Drosophila melanogaster: one gene and its partners. Changing the gene in region 1 together with any one later gene gives a genetic interaction. Each region holds a gene or a part of one and is shown in the gene's direction. Other genes may lie near its edges.

Region 1 (6,863 bases):
GCTAAGTAGCTGAGAATCTGAGTGGCTGGCTGGCTGGGTAGCTAAGTAGCTTTCCATGTTGTCCACGCCGCTGGGCGTTGCTCCAAGGACGGCCATTCATCTGCTGTCGCCGGGTGGTTGGTTAGGTAATACCTCAAGAGATCGAACTAACCGGACACCTTTCTTTTTGCAGTTTCGATGACAGCATCTCAACCCGCCGACGCAAGGAGCGTTCGAAGCGTTCGCACCGCAAGTCGCCCGCCGCCAGTCGACGGCAGCACAAATACCGCTACAGGGACGAGACGTCCCATTCGAGCTCCCGCCGGCGGCACCGTGATCGCGCCAAGGACGAACGCGACAGCGGACGCAACAACCGCCAGTCGCAGGCTAAGGTAAAAACTTTTTATTTTATACACACCACAAGTAGCAAACAAGTGAAAATTGTAGGCAGGGCAACGAAAAAAAAAGGAAACCCCAAAGAAAATTCACAAACTGAAAACGAAAGCTAAAAGCAAAACAAAATGGTAAAAGAACAAACTAGGCGGACAGATAGATAATACGAACACACCGGACCGATCTCATTTAACCACCACCTGCGTTTTCCAATCCTTGTGCTGCCATTGCCAAAATCTGTGCCGTCCGTCTGATCAGTGCTAGAAGATCGCTTCCATCGACTCCTCCCCCATCATGCTGTTCTTCAAGCGGTATCTTGAGAAGTCCCAGCAGGTGGCCGATCACTTCGAGAGCTCCCAGATCCCGTGCTACATCAAGATGCGTGATCTGCCGGCGCCACCGGTCGTGGATCACTGTCGCGATCTGATCCTGTCCAGCTGTTCACTGCGTTTTATGCCGTACACGGATGATTGGATAGTCGTTGAGTACTTTGTCGATCACGACAGCGATTATCTAGTAAGCATGTATGTTGTGCTATCAATCGAACCCACCCACCTCCCCTTCCCCTTCTCCTCCTTTTGACTAACCTATCGTTCCTTACTTTTGTGTGCGTCTTGCAGTACACCCTATTCTCGAGTGGATCGGTGAAGTGATCAGCGCGCTATCATGATCGTTCGCCGCTGCACTCGATCCCTCTCTACTTTCTTATCTATGCGGCGTTGAGTTGAGCTAAATTTGTCATTAGATGTGTCACATTGCTCTGGTTCTTGGTCTTCTGGTACAGTGATTACATGGGAAAGTCACTGTAATCAGTGTAACTGAATATGGAAATAAATGCTTCAGGGCTTCAAGAGGCGGAGCACTTGAGTGAGCAGCATGAGTTGATAAGATAGTACTTGAAACAAAGTAACTTGGTTGGGCAAGGCCTTTAAACTGTGTCGAAATTCAGAAACTTAGATGTTACATAATTACAAATAACTATTGGTTTTGTTATTCAAGTGTAGGTTTGAAAAAAAACAGTAGCCACTTTAAATATAATCAAAATTTTAAGAGATAATCATTTTTTAAAAGCTTAGAGCGGAAACTCGGTTTGAGCTGTATTCATCAGTAATAAAATGGTACTTAAATAGAGCAGTTAAGCGAAACCTTGGCAATATTCATGTGCAAATTAAGCAATTTCTATGCGTTCTTCGTGGCATCTAGCTGTATGAAAAACAGCTCTCAATTAAACGAGAACTTTATAGTTCTCATTCACTGTTGGTGGTTCTTTATAGCTACCCCTGTGCCCAACACTCCCCGCTGTTCTAGTTATTTTCGTTCAATTGATCATTTGACATTAACTCGTTGACGGCGGCCAGAGTTTTCTTTGCTGCTCTGAGATGTGATGAGATATTGCTATTGCTGCTGCGGATGATGCGAACTGCTCCTCGCCAGCATTGCCAGTTGCCCATGTCGCCGCCAATTAAGTGGGCTGAGTAACTCGCATAGAATTCCCTCCGCGTCATCGTTTAGTCCCCAGGCCGCCAAGATTCAGTATTTTAAGCAGTTGGAGCAGCAGCTCATCATCCGGAATGGGGCGAATGGCTGTGGCCTGGAAACATATCTGGAGGAGGATGCTTCACCCGGTGACGGAGAGAGCGTGGCCATTACCCGCTGCCTGCTGCTAAAACGGCAACGTAATCACTTTGATCTTGTGGCCCTCAGCGATATGCCTGTGGACAAGTACGCCGGCGACAATTGGATCATCGAGGAGTACTTTGTGGACCACAATGACGACTATCTAGTGAGTCGTCCCCATTCCGAGTCACAGATTGTCGGCGAATATCTTTCGTTTTCTCGTGATGCATTGTCGGTCCTACAATTTTATAGGAACACAACCTTTTTTCAAAAATATTGTGGAAAAAAATATGTACAGTAGTAATTGTAATCCTAACAAATTCCCTTCGTTGTTTTAAACTAAAATTGTTAGTTATAATCTGTATATGTGATATATGTACACATGTCGATTCAAGTCAAATGGTCGTCCATATATTATTCGAATTTCTGCAAACACAAATGTTAAGTCTTCTGGAAATTTTGGCATGATTTATTGGCAATGCTACTGCTTTGACCGCCGCTATATACACCGATTTTACACGGTGCCCACTCACTCTCCCTGTCTATATCATGCCCCCAAATACACACATGTTTATGGGCTCCCGAGAGCGACGCCTTGGGGATTCCTCTCCGCACTGTGCGCATGTTCGTCTAAACTACCTATGGCCCATGGCGCACAGCTGATACTTCTTTCTCGGAGATGCGCGCGCAGCTTCATCCGGCGGAAAAGCATCTACTTGCCATTTGCTCCGTGGCCATTGGAAAATTATAAATACACGCGCCGCCGAAAGTCTGCGCTCTTCTCATCTGCGGCCAGTTTTCGGCTGAGAATTTTCAAATTCGAGGAAACCGAAACAGATTGAAATCTACGTTTGTTGGCTGTGTGTCGCCGCCACTGCTGCCATATAAACCATATAAACTACATATTGTCGTCGCTTCGTCTTCGTCGTGTAACGGTACGGGTACCACGGGGATCCCCCGCACACTCGCTGTCTCTCTCTATCCGGTCAGATCCCCCCGATCTCTATATTGATCGTCTCCTTTCGCGCAATTTGTTTATCGATGTGTGTGTGTGCGTGTGTGGTGTGTGTGCGTTTCTTGTGCTTTGAATATTCCTTTTCTTTTTGTATTTGGCTGAGAAACACCAAATAATCGAATAGAACAATAATTAGAGGTACATACGGAGCGTATGTGCAATATAGAAACGCATTTCGGAACGATAGGATAGGTAGAACAATTGCTGGGCACCGTGACATAATCAAGCGCAAGAACAAAAAACAACCCAAAACTTAGAACATTTAAGTGTTTTAAAAATAAAACAGTAGCAGTGCGGCAAGAACAAAATTGTCGAAAGCGAAAAAAACATCAAACAAAACACTGAGTGTTAAAAAAAAGTGCGCGATATTCATCGGACTGTATTTGTTTAAACAAAACGCGATGCAAGATACCATAGCCAAACTGTTTTATTGACCCCCCGCCAATGGTGGCGAGTGTATAATTCGGAATAATATCAAGTGGGATACCATCCAGCCTGATGAGCAGCTGTGAAACGTCCAAAACGCTGATAGTGAACTTTGCACTTCTCCACCAAGTTTGCAATTAGCGAGGCGAAAGATACTTTTAATAGAAATAGCGTATGGGGATGGAGGAGACTAGTGCAACATTCACTCAATCGAATACACAGATAGAAATGAAGATAGTTTAAAAACATTTTGGACTATGGAATGATATATATCTTCAAACCATATTTCTTTGTTAACTATGTTCCAAAAGTTTAAGGGTCAACAAGTAAAAACAGTTTAGTTACTATTGTGCTTAGATAATATGGTGAATATGTTTTCTGTGTACTCGGAGATGAAGGCGAAGAAGACAACGCAGCGGCCAAGCAAATCAAAACAAAAACTCAAAACTAACAAATGGAGCACACACGTGTGTGTCCGTTAGTGTGTGTGCCACATAGATACAAACTATCTATATGTGCGCTACAGATCGGCGGGATTATTCATCAGGCTGCCACATCATCATCATGTTGATCTCCGCCGCTCCGGCGTCTCCTTCCGCTGCCCTCCATCCTCCACTTTCCGCTTAGCTGGCGTTTTCTATAATTTTCGAAAGCTATTTTCGTAAGGCTTGCATTTATATTTAGTTGCCACAACAAACTTATAGCAAAAATCCAAGACACAAACTTGTACATGATTAAATTTTGGCCATATGATGATGCCAACCAAAATAAAAGTCAACTGGGGTGGAAAACTTTTCCCCTTCAGATTTTCCAACTCGAATGTGTGTGCTTTCGGTACAGTGAAAGCTAAGCCAGAGCTCAGCAAAGATCAGAAAATTAATGGAAACTCAAAGTGAATTAAAAAATCCAATCAGTCGAATGTGATTATCAGAGATCAGAGATGCATCTTCCAAATGAGAGCTGTCAGTTCAATTTGCATGGCTGATCGAGGTTTCACTGTACTGGCACTAGCGTCACACGTACTGTGTACTAGGTATAACGTCGTCCATTTGTTAAAAATAAAAACAGATTTCGAACCGAACACAGAATGGCAGGGAAAGATGCCCAATGAACCCCACCGAGATATCACACATAGGCTAAAACGATCTCTCCAGGGATATTCACACATATTCCACACATCGCAATAGATTTAGGGCAAGGTGCAGATCTTTTGGCTAGAATCGCAAAGGGGTAGGGGGTTTGCTTTTTGATGAGGCGGCGCCGCGATCAATGAGCTCATTGCTGTTTACGATTTGTAATTTGTATATGTCTCTGCTCTATATACCAAAACAAATTGGGGGTGCTATACATGCTTGTACCCATATATATGTCGGATGTATATGGGCGCCAAAAAGAAGCAGTCTTTGGTCGAACGGCGACCATTGATACAATTAGTAAGTCAAGTCGTCGGGCATTTGCCAAAATGCCAATGAGACATTGACATTGAGCGTGCGATCGATTGTTCCGATCCGATCTGATCCGAATAGAACCAATACGAAATAATCCGATGTTGCGCAGGTTTCCTTTGGGGCCAACATTGGCAGCCTCGCGAGTCTTGCCCAGCTAGTCGAACCCAACGCAATTCGAGGGAGCCGCCAGTGCAATATTAGATAATCGAGTAATTTTTCCCCTTGGGATCCAGAAAGAAAGCTGACAATCAACCGAAAAGTTCACCACACCCCTTGGAATGTCCAACGAACTTAGCGAACTGATCGCCCTTGGCTGTCCAGACCTCGCGGCGCAAAAGCCGCAGGGCGGTAGCACCCAGGTGGAGTTGATCCTCAATACTGAGCGCCGCCTGAGCATAAAGCAGATGACGGCCACGGATTTGGCCACACTTAGGGCAGCAGCAGCCGCAGAAGCGGAGGCCAGATCTCGAGCACAGGCGGAGGCGGAAGCTCTAGCAATTGCCCAGGAACAGTTTCGTCAGGCCCGCGAGGCCGAGTCCAAGGCCAGAGCACGTGCTGCCCTCGAGGTGCAGGCTCAGCTGCAGCGGGTGATGGAGAGCGAGAAACGCAGGCAACAGGAAGAGGAGGAACGGCGCATCAGGCAACAGGCAGAGGAGGAGCAGGAGGATGATGAAGACGACGACAACGATGAGGAAGAGGAACTAACCAAGGGTTCCCTTCCAACCAATTCAGGTCCAAGAGAACGCATTGCTTCGCTACCCTGCAACATAGATGATGCCATGGAGATGCACCTTCTTAACGTTTCGCAGCCGAAGGCCTCTTCCAAAGATGACTCACCGCCTAAGAAGAGTACCTCTCACATAGCTGACTCGATTGAGCTGCTGAGAATGCAGCGAGCTGCTCGGGATGCCCGTTCCCACAATCGTAGTCGAGAGCGTTCCATTTCGCCAGATCGTAATCGCGAAAGGAGCGCTGCTCCAGATCGCCTCCAGAGTTCTGCCAGCATGAGCAGCTTGGACTCGGCCAGTGCATCGGCATCCAGACAACCTAGCAAGGCAGGCAGTCGACGTGGTAGCACCACGAGTGCCACCGGTGTGGAACCACCACTTATGGCAGCACCTCCACAGCCTACCAAATTTCCACTCACTAAGACGGTGTCAGCGCCTAACATGGACCGGCGGCGGAGCAGTCTGACATCACTCTTTCCTGGGCCATCGCCATTGGTGGCACCCGAACCATCTCTGCACACTAATCCCGATCCAAGGGTTCAAGAACAGATTGAAGAGGATCGTCGTCGGCGGCGAATGGACGATGGTTACCGTGAGATACCCAGTGGAAAAATGGTGCATCGAACGAAGACACCGCCACCAGTGGGCACTAACCTTGGAGTGAGCCTCAAGCGGGTGACAGCGCCCAGTGGATCGATAACCATCAAGCCCAAGGAATCGCCCATGCTGGGAGTCGTCCTGCGTAGAGTGGAGAAAAAAACTGTACCGCAAAAGAGCATTCTAGACGACGATAAACCACTGTACCACTTCTCCATTGTGCGCAGCGACCACAAGGAACACGTGCCTGCTCAGAAACCAAAACCCAAGCCTGCTCCTCCAGCTGCTAAACCAAGTCCCGGTGGCATCCTTACTGGACCCCAAGTAATTCGAAACGCTCCCAAGCAACCTGTGCCCGTCAAGCCACAGCGTCCTATGCCCGGCGTTCCCATCACTATCACCAAGATCGAGGGCGACAAGATTATCATCATCAAGAAGATCATTGTGCCTAAGAACAGTAAGATACCGGAGCAGTATCTGCAGGTTGGTCGTCGTCGTGTTGGTGATCGCCTTGTGGTGTCTGTAGTTCGTCTGGTGTTTGGTGTCTCCTTCCTCTTGTGCTTTGTTCGAAATCTGTTTTATAGAATTTACCTCGATGGTAGGAACACGTTAATACACTTGGGAATAGTTATGGGTTGTAAAATAAGGAAGTGCAATGGT
Region 2 (3,081 bases), on another chromosome or scaffold:
CTTGGCATCCAGGGACCCGGATTCCAGCTGGTGGGCACCGACAGCAGCACGATCACACTCCAAGCCATGGAATGCCGCTCGGTAGTGATCAACTTTTGCCCCACTGTCTGTGGAGCGGCCATCGGAGCCTTGTCTTTCTATGCACCACCAGGAGCGCATAACAGCAACCAGCCGGGCCTAGAGATTCCGTTGTACGGCTACGGGGGCAGTGCGTCCATCACCATAAACGGTCTGCTAAAGGGACCGGTGGGCGCCAGTTTCCTTACCATCGGCGATGTATGCGAGCTGTCCGCTGGTCCGCTTTCGGCGAATCTCAAGTTTCACAACAAGGGCCCTCTCACCGCTTTCGTTGGTATATCAGTGGACTCCACCGTGCTCATGAAACTGCGCCTCAGCGAGGCCTTCGAGGTACGTCCGAGCCGCTTGATATTGCCGCCAAATAGCGAGCGCTGCGTGCAGATACTTTTCCGACCGAATCGTGAGGACTTGAAGAACATACTTAAGAAGACCGCACAGGTGTTGACCCTGGCCAATATGCGGATTTTCTGCGGAGACGAGCCCAACAGACAGCGTATGCGTAGCTTGGTCCAAAGGATGAGCAGCCGACAGCGAGAGAAACTCACATCGCCGATGCTGGACAGCATTTGGGGCGAATTTCCGGACGAGCAGCCAGTGCGCAACATCGGTCAGCTGAACGAACCGCCAGAGTTTATTCTGGACTTGGTCACAGTAGTGCGGATTATTGATGTTGCGCTTACCCTCAATCGGGACTTTGATGAATCGTCTGAGAGTTCCCTGATGTTCCTGCCGGAGGCCGACGAAACCGTGCTATTCCGCACCATATGTGTGGCCAATTCGCCGACGCCAACGCAGAGCCATCTATTGGAGCCAGTGGATGAGCTATTGGAGGCGGACACCACAACGTTGACGCCCGTCGAGCAAAACTGGTGTGTGCAGCCAGGTTTGCTGGAATTCGGAGTGGGCTGTTCGCCACTGGCCACTTTGTCCGTAACCAACAGCTTCTGCTCCAGGCAGCTCATCGAGGTCACATGCAATGTGCCCGATTTGGTGCGAATCAGTCCCAGTGAGTGCTACGTATCCCCGGATGGCGGCCACGCGGAGATCGATGTGCGCCTGCTCCGCTCACCCAGGCAGGATTTGCTCGAAAGGGAGCCGCTCATTGTGGTCTCCATGGAAAACGAGCGCATCAGTGTCCCGATTAGTTTTAAATTTTAAAATTTGTTTTATTTGTGCCTGCTAATTCTGCTTTCCCTATGTTTGTGTAGTTAGTTTAAACAAAAATTGTATTGTGTACTTGTGAAATGAAACCGTGTTTGCAGAGTATTTGTAAGGAAAACGCATAACCCTAAAGTTAAAATACTCGCTTGTTTCCTAAAAGTTGAATTTAGCTTAAATAAAAACTAATAAAGTATATGAGTTAATTTTAAATTTTGATATGTTGCTCTCGAATATTCAAAAAGTAACGTATATGTAGCGATAGTTCGTCGAAAAGTGAGTTGGCGGGCACATTGCAAGGTGCAAGCCGAGTACGGTCACACTGAGGAAAGTGCATCATTTAATTTCCAGCATTTTCCGATGAAAATGGATGCCGACAGCAGTGGAACCCAGCATCGAGGTACCCACTATATAGTATAACCGATCTGATCAGATTCTGATCCAGTGCCATCTTTTTGTTGTTTTTTTTCTAGTGTCATATTGTGTGAAATGTGAAATGGATGAGAATGAACGCTGGACGACCAGACAGAGAAAGAGAAGCTAGGACAATAGGACTCTCAACTGCGCATTACGTGGATTCCGTCTCCGACGATGCGCCAAACACTATGCGTTAGATGCATTGACTAACCGCACACTCTTTTCACATAGATTCCCGTGGCTCAAGGTCTCGATCCCGGCGAGAAAGAGAATACCATGGGCGATCAAGCGAGAGGGACAGCAGAAAGAAGGAGCACAAGATTCCGTACTTTGCAGACGAGGTTCGAGAACAGGATCGGTTGAGAAGATTGCGCCAAAGAGCGCACCAATCCACCAGACGCACTCGCTCCAGATCCAGATCACAGTCGTCCATCAGAGAGAGCAGGCACAGAAGGCATCGCCAGCGCTCTAGGAGCCGCAATCGCAACCGAAGTCGCAGCAGTGAACGAAAACGCCGTCAACATAGCCGAAGTCGCAGCAGTGAACGAAGACGCCGTCAACGGAGCCCGCATCGGTATAATCCTCCGCCAAAGATCATCAACTACTATGTGCAAGTGCCACCACAGGATTTCTACGTTAGTAGTTATTTGTATTGAAACAAATAACAAATCTAACTTAAATCGATTTTGCAGGGGATGTCTGGTATGCAGCAAAGTTTTGGATACCAAAGGCTACCACGTCCTCCGCCGTTTCCACCGGCCCCCTACAGATACCGCCAGCGACCGCCGTTCATTGGAGTTCCGCGATTTGGCTACAGAAACGCGGGGCGTCCCCCATATTGAACATACTCCATTCGACATAATTACAAATTTATTTACATTCGTGTGTTTTGTACATTAAAATAATAAATACATATATATTTCAAACTAAAAATGGAGAACATAAAATATTGCAAACGGAGAACGTTGATTAAATCATGAGCAAATGCAGCAAAGAAGGCGGCAAAAAAAGGGTCACACGAGTTAGGAAGTGGAAGTTACTTAATTCTAGGAGGGATAACCATATATTTACGACTTTATACATGCACATTTACACATACACTCATGGTTTCGAGGGGACTAACACTAGCGACTCTCCTAATTACGATATTTACGCATTGTCAATAAATTATAAAAATAGATCATTTGTTGTGGCATTATACTAAAACAGTGGTTAGAGCTCGACCCGCGGACGAAACTGCAGCCGAAGCGGCGGATCCCGGAAGCGCCAGCGCGTCACGTAGACGAACTTCAGCGTGTGATCCTTGCCGAGCAGCTCCTCGTTGCACAGTATGTCGATCTGAAAGATAAGATACGTAGTTATCATATAAGTATGTGCCATGTATACAAGTAACTAAGCCAGTCTGAGCTTTCACTGAGAGCAGTTACT
Region 3 (6,422 bases), 3.7 Mb from region 1:
AAGATTTTACACTTTTAAAAAACAGAATACGCAAAGAAATGTTATTCGAAAATATATTCGTTATTATGTTTAATGCTTACATTATTGTGCCTCAAGTTTTAATAAAAATGGCTAGTCTTAAAAAGAAACATAACAATATTTAAGTAGTCATACGTCGGCGAACTTTTTAATGATAGTAATAGTAGTAATGCCTAATATCGACTGTGTAGCGTTTGCTTTTTATAAAATTTATTGCTAATACACGAATAAAGTCAGAATAAATTTTGAACTCAAGCAACACACACTCCAGTATTGGAAAGCGTGAGCAGCAGAGTTGCCATCGCCCAGCTGTTCAGCATTATTTAGTGCATTCTCGGGCAAGTTAAGTTGGCTGCGATTTACCCCACTTCCTTTTCCGTGTTAGCTGTGAAAGAAAAAACATGCCGGTGGGTTCCGAATTGCGTTAAAATTGAATTTAAACACAGAAAACTCAACCGAATGATAACCAAAAACGGCCGCTTATTACCGCCAAAGTGTCCAGTGTAAACGGAGCAAGTGTCGGCCGATAATAACGGCCCTGAAAGACTGTAAAACAAATGTCTGGCCCGCTTCCATTGAATGTGTGCGATACAAGCCACGCATGGCGTGCGCCAGTGAAATTGCAAACAGTTGTGAAATGGCCAAATGAGATTTAAATGGAATCTTGGGACTTACAGGAGGAATTGATTGCACTGTCATGTGAAATCGACGGATATCCTTGCACATAACCTAGAACACGCATTTGCGAATTTATGTTGTTGTTGCCTGGAGTCTGCTCTGCATTTGTTGATACACCGAGAGAAAATGTGCCAATTGTCTGGCTTAGAATCGTCAAGTGGCCTGATAACATTGTATTCAATTCTATTGTTATCTATTTCCCAAATGAATTGTTAATTGAGAACTTAAAGATCAAAGTAGTTATACTTTAAAATATATTTTCAAGTATTTAAATTGGTAGAAAGTTACTTCTTCGTTAATTAATAAAGAATTGGTTTTCCTATTGGATCAAAGTTGGACCAACACGTTTGGCGCCAAAGAAATTTCGACTTATAACTAAGATTTAGAGGATTATCTAGGCTTGAAGTAATCCAACACATTTGGCCGTAATCATATAGTATAATATATACATTAAATGAATTTATACTAATTTTGAAACTATTTTCACCTTGCAGCTAGCAAAAGATCTTCTGCACCCTCTGCCCGCCGAGGAGAAGCGCAAGCACAAGCTGAAGCGCCTGGTCCAGCACCCCAACTCGTACTTCATGGACGTGAAGTGCCCCGGCTGCTACAGGATCACCACCGTCTTCAGCCACGCCCAAGGCGTCGTGGTCTGCGCTGGATGCGCTACCATTTTGTGCCAGCCGACTGGAGGACGCGCCAAGCTGACAGAAGGTATGCTCCAAATGCTCACTGTCCAATGTTCCTTCGCAATTAACCCAAACGATGTCTTTCTTTCAGGCTGCTCCTTCCGCAGGAAGCCACAGTAAAATGGGACTCGCGATGAACCACAAATTATTAATTTTTTAATAAAAACTCTAAAACGTAAAGAAACCACAGAACCCATACGAGAGAAAGCTTGTAATTCAATTGCTGCGGTCCTTTGGTTCATTGTGCTTTGTGAATTAAAGAATTAACGATGTTGTGGTCGGCTAAGTGAAAAAAAAAACAGTTCTTGTCGTATTTGTTTATAGAAAGTGGATAATTGCCAACAGGATAGATAGTGGAGCTCAATCGCTGGGGTTCCCCGATAAGAAACCGCCCATAATGGAAGCTCTTGTGTGTGCAAATACCCTTGTGCGGCAAAACTTCAGGAATTTTTCACTAGTTATGCTTAGATCTAACCATTGATTAACTTCACAACAATAAAGAATGTTTCATAGGCTCTAAATCGAGATTTTGTGAGGCTTCTAATGATTGGGCATTCAGCATTTTTTCAAGAATTTTGTAACCGACTCAAAAAATCTTTAGAATGGTTGGTTATTCGGATCGCATATACTTAGCTTGTTTGTCTTATTTTTATTTGGATGAGCGCCAAAATTTTGCTGCGTCAGTCTGGAAAAAATTGAATCAAATGTGTATAGTTTTATAGAAGTTGGGAAGCGGAATTTATTTATTTATTTAAATATTTATAATTAAAAAAATGAAAATAGTCACGTTGTTTAACTAGTCAGTATTCGAACCAACAAATGTAAAATGTATACTGGTTTGTGTCTAAGCTAAGCTTGTCATATTAACGGAGCTGCCAGATGTTAGGAAGTGGGGATGCCATACATTATTCTAAATTTGCGCGCAATTTTAGAAGCTTATCGTCGTCAGAATTACAAAAACAAATTGAATATGAAAATGGGTTATTGCTACTTCATTATTATTGTCACGATATATGATAATTTATACAAAATGTGATAAATCCCAAATTGTTAAATAATGCTTTGGCTTGCTTTATACAAAACCACTAGATAATTAAAATATAGGTGGCCTAAATTGTTGCATGTTGTTTTATAATTAATCAGCAATTTGATTTGGTTGTGATCGACCAAATCAGTGTGTATAATTGTAGTTAAAATGTAAAGTTCGTAATGGATTATTGAATCGCATTTCAAATTTCTTTAAATGCGCCCGGGTCAATGACCTTTTGAGGTGACCATAAATTGAAACTTATTTGTGCGACGGCAACCCTGTTCTGGGACTCGACATGATATCGATACGTTAACAACAAAGAGTCTGGACGCCATCATTCTTCCTCTTTCTCCTGAATTCGCAGACAGCGTGGCGTCAGGCATTTCAAACGGTAAAAAGAACCTGGCGATAAGGAAAGATTTAAAAGGCAAAAATCGAGTGATTTGTGTGATTTAACTTAAGAATAATGCTTAATGCACGTGACGTGTGTCCTGAGGGCAACGACGACCAGCAGTTGGACCACAATTTTAAGCAGATGGAGGAGCATTTGGCCTTAATGGTGGAAGGCAATGAAAACGAAGATCCGAGGAAAGCCACTTGTGAGTACGAGGATACGAACGAAGATGGTGCAACCTGCACATCGGGCGTTTTATCCGAAATCCAGGAGAACTTCGGTAGACTCCGGTTGTGTGACGTTACTGCACCACTCCTCGAATTCCACGGTTTGGATTGCTTGCAACAGATTCAAAAGCGCTCGCGCCATTTTGCATTCGACGGTTCTCCGGCCAAGAAGTCGCGATCCGGAGGCGTGTTGGTCACCGGGCCAAAGCAGAAGCAACTGCAGAAGGAAAATGTGTGGAACCGGAAGAGTAAAGGCTCTGCGTCCGCGGATAATATTGAGAAACTGCCCATAACTATTGAGAAACTGCATATGATTGGTCTGCACGGCGATTGGTGAGTCTTCTGGAGTATATCCCAAATATATCACATAATAAAAAGCTCCTTATCTAAACAATAGCTTAGAGCACAACGCCGTGCTGCGTTTGATGAATCTGTTCAGATCCCTGCATGATCACCTGACCGCCGATTTGGGCTTCTCGCGCCAAAACTCAATGCCCTCGGACTATCTGTTCGATATGCCGGTGAAGAGCACGATGCCTAAGAGCTTGAATGTGCGCTACCAACTGCAGGTGCTGTGCACCAAAGTAGAGCGCTTCCTTGTCCAGCAGCGCCGCACCTTGGAGGCGAATCGCCACTTCGATTTCGAGAAATACGACGAGTGTGACAAGTTGCTTAAGGGTTTCGCATCCTATTTGGACAACTTCAAACTGCTTTTAAAGCCCAAAATGCGCAATCGAAACGGAAACTCGGGGAGCAATGCGGACAAGTGTAAGCTGTAGATTTGCAAGCAACCATTCAGCTATTCCTGCAACGATTTTATTATTTACAGTCCATACTCAGCGCATGGAGAGATTGCTAATTGGTCTGCGCGATTGGATCAAGGCTGCGCATCTCAGTGTGCACGTATTTAACTGGGAAATGGATCTGGAGCACCGCTACTCCGGGGCCATGACCGAAAGCCACAAGTCGTTGAACGAGCGGGCCATCCTTTTGTCCGGTGCCGAGCTAAGGGCGGCCGAAGCGCGTGGAATCAGTGCGGAGGATCTGTTCATCGCCCAGAGATACAAACTGGGAGGTCCGATCTATTGCGTTCTGGAGCAGCATGAGTTCCTCTCCGCTCTGATCGCCAATCCAGAGACCTATTTCCCGCCCAGTGTTGTCGCCATTTGCGGGCCACAGAAGCTTGGCGCAGTGAGCATGGAGCAGCCGTCAGCGTCGGAGGAGGAGTTTGAGGAGACCGAGGAAGTGCCATCATCGCCACCTCGTCACACCGGACGTGTACCTCGCTTCAGAAGCTAAACTAATGCTGTGCACATCGATAAAAGAATGACAGCAAATATGCAATTTAAAAAAGCTACTCTTCTCATGGGAAGCAATAATTTCGTAAAGTAAACATATCTATAGTGTAAGATATATTTGTCCAATAGTGCGGACTCCATATTTGTATTCGTGAATAAGCTTATATAAGCTTTTTAAAAATATTTATCAAATCGATACAAACAAAATCAAAATGAAAACGATTTATTACCCCTGTTTTGAGATTGATAACAAATTTATATAAGTTTAACTGTGTTTACATTTATTTGGCAAAACTACAAATGTGTTTGCTTTTCACTTTTATAAATCTGTATTTTACTTAAACTTTAGAAATAAGAAATCCTTTAGTGCCTGAATTTATTTTGCAACTACGTTTTATTTGTATGAGGAACTTACCAGTTTTTCTTATTTGCTTTGCATTTGTATTTTGAAAGTCAAATAAATATTTACGATTTGTGTTTGGACTAATTAGGGTGTTTGTACTAAGGTCTTAGACTACAAAGAGCTGTTCGAGCGGCAGTTTGCCAAAGATCCTGTCCACCACCGACTTGGCTATCAGTCCGAAGGCCTCGCCAATGCCCGGTTTCAGTTCATTGAAGATGTCCTTCCAGTTCTCATTGATAAGCGCGTGCATGTTCTCGCTGAGATCTTTCTGGCCGTTGAACAGATTTTCCAGCTGGTAGGTCACATGGGATGGATCCAGCTCAACCTTTATGTTCATCACCTCGGCGTAGGTTTGATGATCGCCCTTGGAGACGCGCTTCAATTTGATCTGTGCACGTACCTTTGTTCTAGCTGCGAATTCCAGAAACACATTAAAAATTTTAGATTTCAAAGCTGTGGGAGGCAAATCTTACTGAGGCGTATGTCAGCAATGCCATTTCCGGTGATGGGCAGAATGAGTATTCTTCCGTCCACCGAGTAGGGTCCTCTGACTCCTATTTCTGGAACTTCCATGACCAGCTCGATGGAGCGGCTGAGATCCCTTGTGAATCCGCTAAAATCCGAAACAGAAAAATGTAGTAAGCAGAGCGATCATAAAATGAAATGAGGATCCACTCACCTCACTCGCTTCGCAACTCCCTGATGCAGACCCAAGATGTCCATCTCGTGGAAGCTGAGATCGATGTTGACCGGACTGTGCGGATTGCGTCCGATTTTGAACTTCTTGACGTGCAGCGGATCGAGGGGGATCAAGCCCAGCTCCTTGATACCGCTTTTGGCGTAGTTCCTGAGCACGAAGTTCACCCTGTCCTCCAGGCACTGCTCGTCCATTATGGCGCACCTCTCGATGCCCGAGGCTGTAAATTGGGGCGTGGCGATTGTGAAATATACATAAACATTATATATTACGGAAAGGGGGTGTGTGCAACTCACGGAAATCGGAGGCGTGTCCGTAGGTGGACGCACATCCGAACAGCAGGACGAGGGCGAGAGTTAGCTCCATAATTGCTGGCGGCGAACGTAATCGAGTACTGATCCATTAGCCGCGGGCGTTAACACTTATATAGTCACTTTCGTCAATTGAAATGTATCATGTTTTTGTTGCCGTAAACCGCTTTTGCGTTTCAGCCGCACAGAATTTGACTTTAGACCGTTTGGCAGTTGAGTCAGTTAAATGGATTATAAACCGAAACCGGCAGGCTGGCTGTATGGCAAAGTGGCTGGTTATAGCCGGCGAATTCATTTTACGATTCCCTTTAATGAACTCCCAAGTTCCCAACTCCCAAGCCAGACATCGACCCCGTCCCATTCAATCGCTCCTAATCGCGTTTTGGGTGCAATTTGCTCGATATATGCAAATTGGATCGGCCTTCCCCAAAACGCACATTAATTCCCGTTTCAACGTCTAATTAATGGCTAAGTCAACAAAGATTGTTTATCAAGCTTTTTTTTAATGTAACTGCCTTTTCCAGTTACAGATATTCCCTGCCTTTCGGAATCTCCGCGCGCGAATAACACATACTTTCAGGCGGTCCTTCATCTTTTGGATCAACCTGATCTATAGGGTTCCACTCACTGTAACTTAATTAATAATGGGTCATAGTTTTAAATGTTTTTATGGTATT
Region 4 (6,755 bases), 7.3 Mb from region 1:
GGCATGCTATAGCATATAGTACTATATCCGAATTTTGCACCCCACTGATGGCAAAGGGGTTGCTTTGCTTCTGCGACGGAAGGATGATGAGGAAGGAATTGCAGGGAGCGACGTGTGACGAGACTGTCGAGGAGCCTGATGAATGCCAGGCGCAGCTCTTCCAGGCTCTCAGACTTCAAATGCTGCCGGCCAAATGCGTCTGTGCTGGAAATTAACCGAAAGGATAAATGGCTGAGGGGCAAGTTGATAACTTTTCGAATGTTATCCAGCAAATGTGTACAACTAGTATTAGAGCTGGATTTAATGCAAGAAAATAATGCACAAAATTCTATTCCTAGGCGTTATGTTTCAACGTCAACATTCTCAGAGTTTGACATTTTCCCAGAGTTCAGGTAATGAAAAAAACTGTAGCATACTTTCCAGGGGAACTGAGTGATTATTATGATCACTTGTTTGTTATAGTTATGTTTTAATATTTTATTTTATCTTAGTGGCTTAAAGCTCTTTACAACCTCCCCAGTCATTCGCACCCGTAGCAAAAGTGCCACAAGTGTCTGAGTCAATTTTTGGACTATTGAGTTCATTGATCCAGTCCAAAAGGAGAAACATCTGCTCAAATATGTGCGCAACGCTTGTGCTAGCCACATATCTATGCCACCGCATTGTCTGCCACTACCCCACCCACCCTCTCGCCTCGCCCACCCGCAAGACTTTATGATATGACATACGGGAAAAAATCAAGCAAATTATGGTAAATACGCCTCTGGAAACTCACGCCCGCTTTCGGGTATCTGGAATGGGCAGAAACGGATACACAGATACTCACGAACGGCTGGCAAACACAAAACACAAGAGCACACAAAAACAGAAAAGCAAAAAAAAAAAAGAGCAGGAAAAAAAAGAAGCCAGCACTCGCACACGCATTTCCAGTTAATTAAAAGTATTTATGACACTGCGCACATAAAATGTCTTCCAAAGTACAAAAGTCCACCCAAGGATCGTGGGAAGTTCCCGCTTGCGCTCTTCTATCTGGTAGGCGAAAAAAAAAAACCATCTTGCAGAAAATGGTTGAAAAAAAATCAAGCATAGAGATACTCTAATTGCATATGTGTTGGGCAAGGGATGGGAAGGGGGAAGGGGCAGGCGCAGGGGCCAAAGTTCTTCCTCTCTTTCTGCGTCCGTGAGGGGTGATTCTCGCCCCTCTTCTTCATATTCGTATTCTCATTCTTCTTCTTCTTCTTCTTGTCTGCCGGTCTGGCTTATGGGAAATGTGAAAAAAATCACACTCACGGATCTGTGAGTGTCCTCGCCTCAGCAACCCACCCAAGAGAAACCCAAAGGATAACAGCCTCGAATCCAAAAAAAAAAACTGCCTAAAAAGTTAATAGAAATCGAAAACTGGAAAGGAGATTACATTTCTGGTAGGAGGGGGGGGGGATGTTTCTCAGTTACTGGGCTTGGGATTATGGGAATGGGAAACACTGCGCAGATCGCCTGGCAAGTTGTACTGATTTGCGAGATACATTTGTGCACACAAAACCAGGAATGCAAATGGCAGCGGGCATGAGTTGTAAATATTTAATCAGATTGTTGTTAGAAAAAGTGACATGGTAGCGATTTTGGGATATTTATGAGTACAAACTTTGCATTATTCCAGAATGTATGAGTATTGTTTGTTTAGTAGAAAGTGCTTTTGCACTAAAGTAGATTAATAGTGGAATAACAAATAATATAAGAATGGAAAGTCAAATGTTTGAGCAGGTTTCTTTAATCAGGTCAGTTGCTCAGCAAATAGGTGAATTTTTACACTTCAGTTAGTATTTACTTAATTAAATACTAACTTTTCTCTATAAAGTTGCAAATCTTTAAGGTATATTATATGATTAAGCTGTGAGCTGTGAGATGAGCATACTTGGCTTTAATCTCAGGCATAATTTTTATGATACGTAGAAATTAATAGATTTGTGTGCGACAGTGTCGAGTTATGCGATAGACCCATTTAATGCCTATTTCCGGCCTTAAAAAGTGTACCCCTTGTTGATGGGGCGCTGAAAATCGGCAACGCTGCTGTGCTGCTGCAACTACAACAATGTCGTCACTGCAACGCAATGCAACACTTGGCACACAACTGATAAAGATAAAGAAGATGGTGAAGCGGTTGGTTGAGCGGGAGGGGAAAGGTTCTCTGCCGGCGTCGCTGTTGATGTGGGTGCGGTAACAGCGACGTCGCCACTTCCGTCTGAGCGATTTTTAGCCGATTTGTAGCCGGCAAGCCGAAGAGAGCGAAAAGGGTTGGGGGCCAAAAGCAAAAGCCGCTCTCACCGAACATTCGAGTCTGGCTTCCACATGCCACATGTGAAGAGTAGGAAGCGGCGCCACTCACATTCCACCCTCTTGCGCTTTCGCTTTCCGCCCCCTTCTCCACATTCGTTCTCTCTCGTGCTCAGCTGTTGCCGCTAATTCGCTGCAATTAGCGTGGTTCTCTTAGCTTCAAGCATTAGTTTTTATATCAACAGAATTTTAAAATTAAAAACTTCAAATAAAACTTGGACCAAAGATTTAATTAAAAGCTGATATTAGGTAAAATAATGTAGCATTTAAAAAACAATTCAGGAAGTGATTAACAGCGCTGTTATAGGTATTTAACTTCGCTTATAAATAATTATATTTTTCTTTTAACACTCAAATGTATTTATTCATTGCAAAATATTAATAACCCAAAATATTCGTTCCCTTTTGAATTGACAACCTATCGTAATATCGAATAGCTATCGTTTGATCAGTTTTGTCTCCACTCAATTTACGATCCACTCTCTTCTGCTCTCACTCTCTCGTGCCGCGAGCGCTCAGCTGCTGACGCCTCAAATTCGCCGCTACAAGAGACGCCGTGCGTTTTGTGGCTCGTTGCTTGTTCTGTCGATTCGCCGCGTTCAGTGTTGTTGTCGCGTCGTGACGCTGCTGTTGCCGCTGCCGCCCCCACACACATGTGCGAGCAGAAAACACGTTACGAGGGGAAAATCGACGGAAAAATCCGAAAAAAAATAGAAAAGCTAACTGAAAAGAGTACAAGACTGAGGTATTGATAAGTTAATGTGGTTTAATACACTAATTAAGCGTAAGTGGCCGGTATTAAAAGTGCCATTACGGTGGTGCTTACGTTTTCTCCGTCTGACGTAAGACGACTCCCTCTCTCGCTCTCTCTCTCTATCTCGTGTCTCTCCGATTCTCTTTCTCCGCGTGTGGATTGCGTTTTGCCGGCGACGGCGACTCCAAAAAAGACACGGCACAACACACTTTGTGGCCCAAGTTCAGTTCGCTTTTCGTCGCCAGTCCGCAAAAATGTGAAAATGGAAAACTGAGAGAAAAACCAAAAAGCCGCAAAAGACTGCCTCTGCAAGTAAAAGATTCAAGTCGCTGAGTAGCAATAGCAAATGCTCTAAAAAATCAAGAATAAAATAAAATAAAAGTGCGGGCGTGTAACAATTATGTGATATCTACAACAAATGCTCGAACTGCTGACGTCACGCACAGAATCGTAGAATATATAGAGAATAAAGAAGAGAAACGAAAACGTCGCGTAGTAAAGTTAAAAGTTCCCACACCACCGACGTACTCACACTCGCACACACACAGACTGAGTCAAACGAGTAAGAAGCAGCAGCACATTATACGTGGAATACAAAAAGTAACCGACAGAAAAGGCAAAACGCCCGCAAAAAAATGAAAAATTTGCAAATATGAAACGTGTGTGATATTCAAAAAGAGCAAGAAGAAGCAGGCGGCGGTGGAAAAAAAAGCAGAGCAATTTGTTGTGGTTGCGTGTGATATATAGAAAGCAAGTAAAACCAACAAAAATTCCATTTTTAGGTGCGTATTCAAACAAGACAAAAAAAAAGAAGCAAAGGGAGTTTCCACCTCACCTTTGATGATCAATTAATCATTCAATTTTGGGCTAAGCCCTCTAATAACCTCCAAAACCGATACGGTGAATAGCAGTCATTCGCTCACTCATTCAATCCCCCAACGCTCCAGTTTTCAGAGATAACGAATCGAAAATTCGGAGTCCATCAGTTTTTATTTCTATTTGCCCAAAGTCGGCGGCGATTTCTTTATGGCGCCCCCCAGATTAACATTTTACTAGATGTTAAGACAACAGTGCAGGTAACAGTTTGAAGAACTCGTGGTTTTTCTTCGAAGATATGGACAAAAATACATTTCAAGTTAAAATTAATTGTGTAAAACCGTCCAGCACAATATTAGCCAACTAACTGGCGTTTTTGTGTTGACGTGGATACTGAGGAATGCAAAATTAAAGCTGCACTGCAGTCATAAATATCAACTGAAATGTTCAATAGACATGTAATAATTAGGTAATGTGTTTGTTTTACAAATTAAAGTGATCTAAATGTTTTAAAATCTCAGATCATTTGTCTCTTTAATATTTTCTGTGGTCTTGAATTTGCCGGTTACTTCTACCAGTTTCGTCGGGTTAATTGGACTTGCATCAACAGTTTTCCGCTTTAATCTGTGCATGTACTTGACGACTGCACCACATAGTGTGTACATTATGTGTGGCCCCTGTTATCAGGCCTTGTGAGTACACAATATTCGATTGGCTCTAAATGCGTCATCGCGTAAATGGCCAGGCGAAATGAAGTTTTGTACATTATGTACAAAATTTTGGTGTATGAAACGCAAAGGGGACTTCCCTGGAATTCATTCTGCTTTCCTTGCCGGCATTGATATTCCACACCCACGCAATAATTTTTCCTTTCCCGGGCTTTCATTATGTTTGCAGTTTTCTGTGGGCGAAATATTTTGCGACGCATTTTGTGCGCCTCTCCCTGGACAAAAAGCCGCCTTCTCTTTTACTCGTTCTCTTTTTCTTGACTTGGCCAGTTGGCAATTATTTTTGGCTTTCTCAAACGAAAAAAGCTAAGGCGAGGCTTACAGCCGTTTTATTTTATATTACTATTACCTTATTTCATTTCTGTAAGTGTGCAATTAAGTGGCTGCCTTCTGTCTCGGTCCTTGCGGTTCATAAGAAAGAAGCCAAGTGTGTGTAATTGACCAAATGAAATAAAGATGATAGAGAAAATAAAACCGGCTAGAAAAAAGCATCCATGGGACCAACAACAACAAAAAGATGAAGAGAGATGTTCCATGTGGATTGTGTCTGTGAGTAACAGCTGTTATTCGGATTCAGGCCGGCTTTTACTCTCAGTCTCTTTTCCCTAGCAGCATCCCCCTCCAACACACACACACACCGTGGGAGACTCTCTCTTTCTCTCTCTGGACTGCCGCTTAATACACAAAATTCGTGTTCTTCCTCTTTTTCTGGCTTTTGATTCACTTTTTTCCCTCTATTGCAATTGTTGTTGCTTAACACCTTGCACACTCGCACATTATTTATTTGTATTTATTTCACTTGTCCCTGCCTTTTTACTGCGCATGCAAAATGATGTGCAAAAAGAAAGCGAAACTTTTTATTAGCTCTTGGTATCTGTGTGGGTGTTAGTGAGCATGCATGTACATACATATGTATGTTTTCGTGTGCTTGTGCTTATGCCTGTGTGTGCGTGAGTCTGCATACATAACAACGTATATAATTAATAGCCATGTAAATGCATGATCTTCATAATTAATAACGGTAAATTGGCATGCCAGAGGAATACAGTTATGGCTGCAAATTAAATACCAGCCATTAGTTGCATTCGAATTGGGATTTTAGCTAATATTTTATTAATTAGTGAATTGAGATTTCATGTCTGCAATTGGGCATATTTATTATTCGGGGGCAGACTAAATTTAAGTTATAAAGAGTAAAGATCCGTTAATTTAACAATCTTCACTACACCTTGCGGCCGGTTATTGTTGCTATACTAATTCGAAATTAACACGGAGAACGTGAGAGCAGAGTAGTGGCAGTGAAAAGGTGAAGGGAGGGGAGGCGGCAGCGCTATCAAAAGTCGCATTGCGTGCCCTGAGTCGCTTGGCTGCCTCCCTCCCCCGTCAAACACCCCTCCCCGCCCACTGAAAACCCCCAACGGAATTATTTACTCGGCCACTACATAATGTGTACGTTTTATTTTCTAGCCTTTTCTTTATCAGTCATACAAATGTTGTACGGGCAAAGCAAAAGCAAAGCAAGGAAAAGCTATTCTAGGTTTTATTGTAGCTCCGCTCTGTTGCGCCAATGTTGATTGAAAAACGTAGAGATAGGAAAAAGAGAAGGAAACAATGAAAAATAAAGAAAAACTTGTTATTTCTTTGCCGTGTAGGCCACATTTTCCACGATATTCCACTGGCCGCTTCGTATTTTCATGTTCATTTCCCTGTTTGCATAATGTTATTTTTTCTCTGTTTGCTTCGCTTTGTGCTTCGCCTTCAGCAGTTAGATAAATGTATGCAGAGATGACTGACAAGTGCACTTAGAAGTTGTTATTATAAAGATAAAGATATTTTATCTTCGAAATACATTTTTCAGTGGCTATTGTTTGGAGAAACTTGAAAAGCGTCTAACAAGTTTTGTAGTATAATAAATAGTGATGACAGAATCATGAGTGAGCTTGTTAATTTGTAATTACGTGTACATTTTAACTATCCATTAAATAAAAACGCTGTGTCAAGCTGTGAAGCAATTTCTTACTGTTGATAAGATAGAGATGTCCCCTTCGTAACCCCTGCATAATAATAAAATGTAATGTAATGATGCAATTTTAGGGCCTCAAAAGGCCATCATATCGCATGTATTT

What was found.
Region 2: of Doa (region 1) and tra, changing one suppresses a phenotype caused by changing the other (phenotypic suppression), as found in Drosophila melanogaster (2 studies listed by BioGRID).
Region 3: of Doa (region 1) and bam, changing one suppresses a phenotype caused by changing the other (phenotypic suppression), as found in Drosophila melanogaster (one study listed by BioGRID).
Region 4: of Doa (region 1) and E2f1, changing one suppresses a phenotype caused by changing the other (phenotypic suppression), as found in Drosophila melanogaster (one study listed by BioGRID).

Annotation. Positions count from the first base shown.
Region 1 is NT_033777.3:28,900,652-28,907,514, forward strand, and holds the start of Doa (darkener of apricot), read left to right. Parts: upstream 1-2,826; 5' UTR 2,827-2,924; intron 2,925-4,987; exon of another isoform or gene 4,988-5,111; 5' UTR 5,112-5,156; coding exon 5,157-6,686; intron 6,687-6,863. UniProt on the Drosophila melanogaster protein: Dual specificity kinase involved in the negative regulation of microtubule-based transport through phsophorylation of the microtuble-binding protein eEF1gamma.
Region 2 is NT_037436.4:16,589,559-16,592,639, reverse strand, and holds tra (transformer), read left to right. Parts: upstream 1-1,589; 5' UTR 1,590-1,596; coding exon 1,597-1,636; intron 1,637-1,709; coding exon of another isoform or gene 1,710-1,780; exon of another isoform or gene 1,781-1,884; coding exon 1,885-2,288; intron 2,289-2,345; coding exon 2,346-2,495; 3' UTR 2,496-2,581; downstream 2,582-3,081. Other genes in the region: spd-2 (spindle defective 2), read left to right, coding at 1-1,236; l(3)73Ah (lethal (3) 73Ah), read right to left, coding at 2,866-2,991. UniProt on the Drosophila melanogaster protein: Member of the regulatory pathway controlling female somatic sexual differentiation, regulated by Sxl. Activates dsx female-specific splicing by promoting the formation of a splicing enhancer complex which consists of tra, tra2 and sr proteins.
Region 3 is NT_033777.3:25,241,436-25,247,857, reverse strand, and holds bam (bag of marbles), read left to right. Parts: upstream 1-2,748; 5' UTR 2,749-2,881; coding exon 2,882-3,369; intron 3,370-3,433; coding exon 3,434-3,804; intron 3,805-3,865; coding exon 3,866-4,335; 3' UTR 4,336-4,819; downstream 4,820-6,422. Other genes in the region: RpS27 (ribosomal protein S27), read left to right, coding at 420-425, 1,191-1,410, 1,477-1,505; CG11854 (uncharacterized protein), read right to left, coding at 4,844-5,148, 5,211-5,350, 5,417-5,654, 5,731-5,800. UniProt on the Drosophila melanogaster protein: Regulatory component of a deubiquitinase complex consisting of bam and otu. The complex deubiquitinates K63-linked polyubiquitinated proteins, antagonizing the ubiquitination activity of Traf6 and regulating the IMD immune signaling pathway.
Region 4 is NT_033777.3:21,629,245-21,635,999, reverse strand, and holds the start of E2f1 (E2F transcription factor 1), read left to right. Parts: upstream 1-2,926; 5' UTR 2,927-3,076; exon of another isoform or gene 3,077-3,867; intron 3,868-6,755. UniProt on the Drosophila melanogaster protein: Transcriptional activator that binds to E2f sites. Required for wild-type growth in mitotic and polytene tissues, Contributes to the expression of replication genes at the G1-S transition and Cyclin E.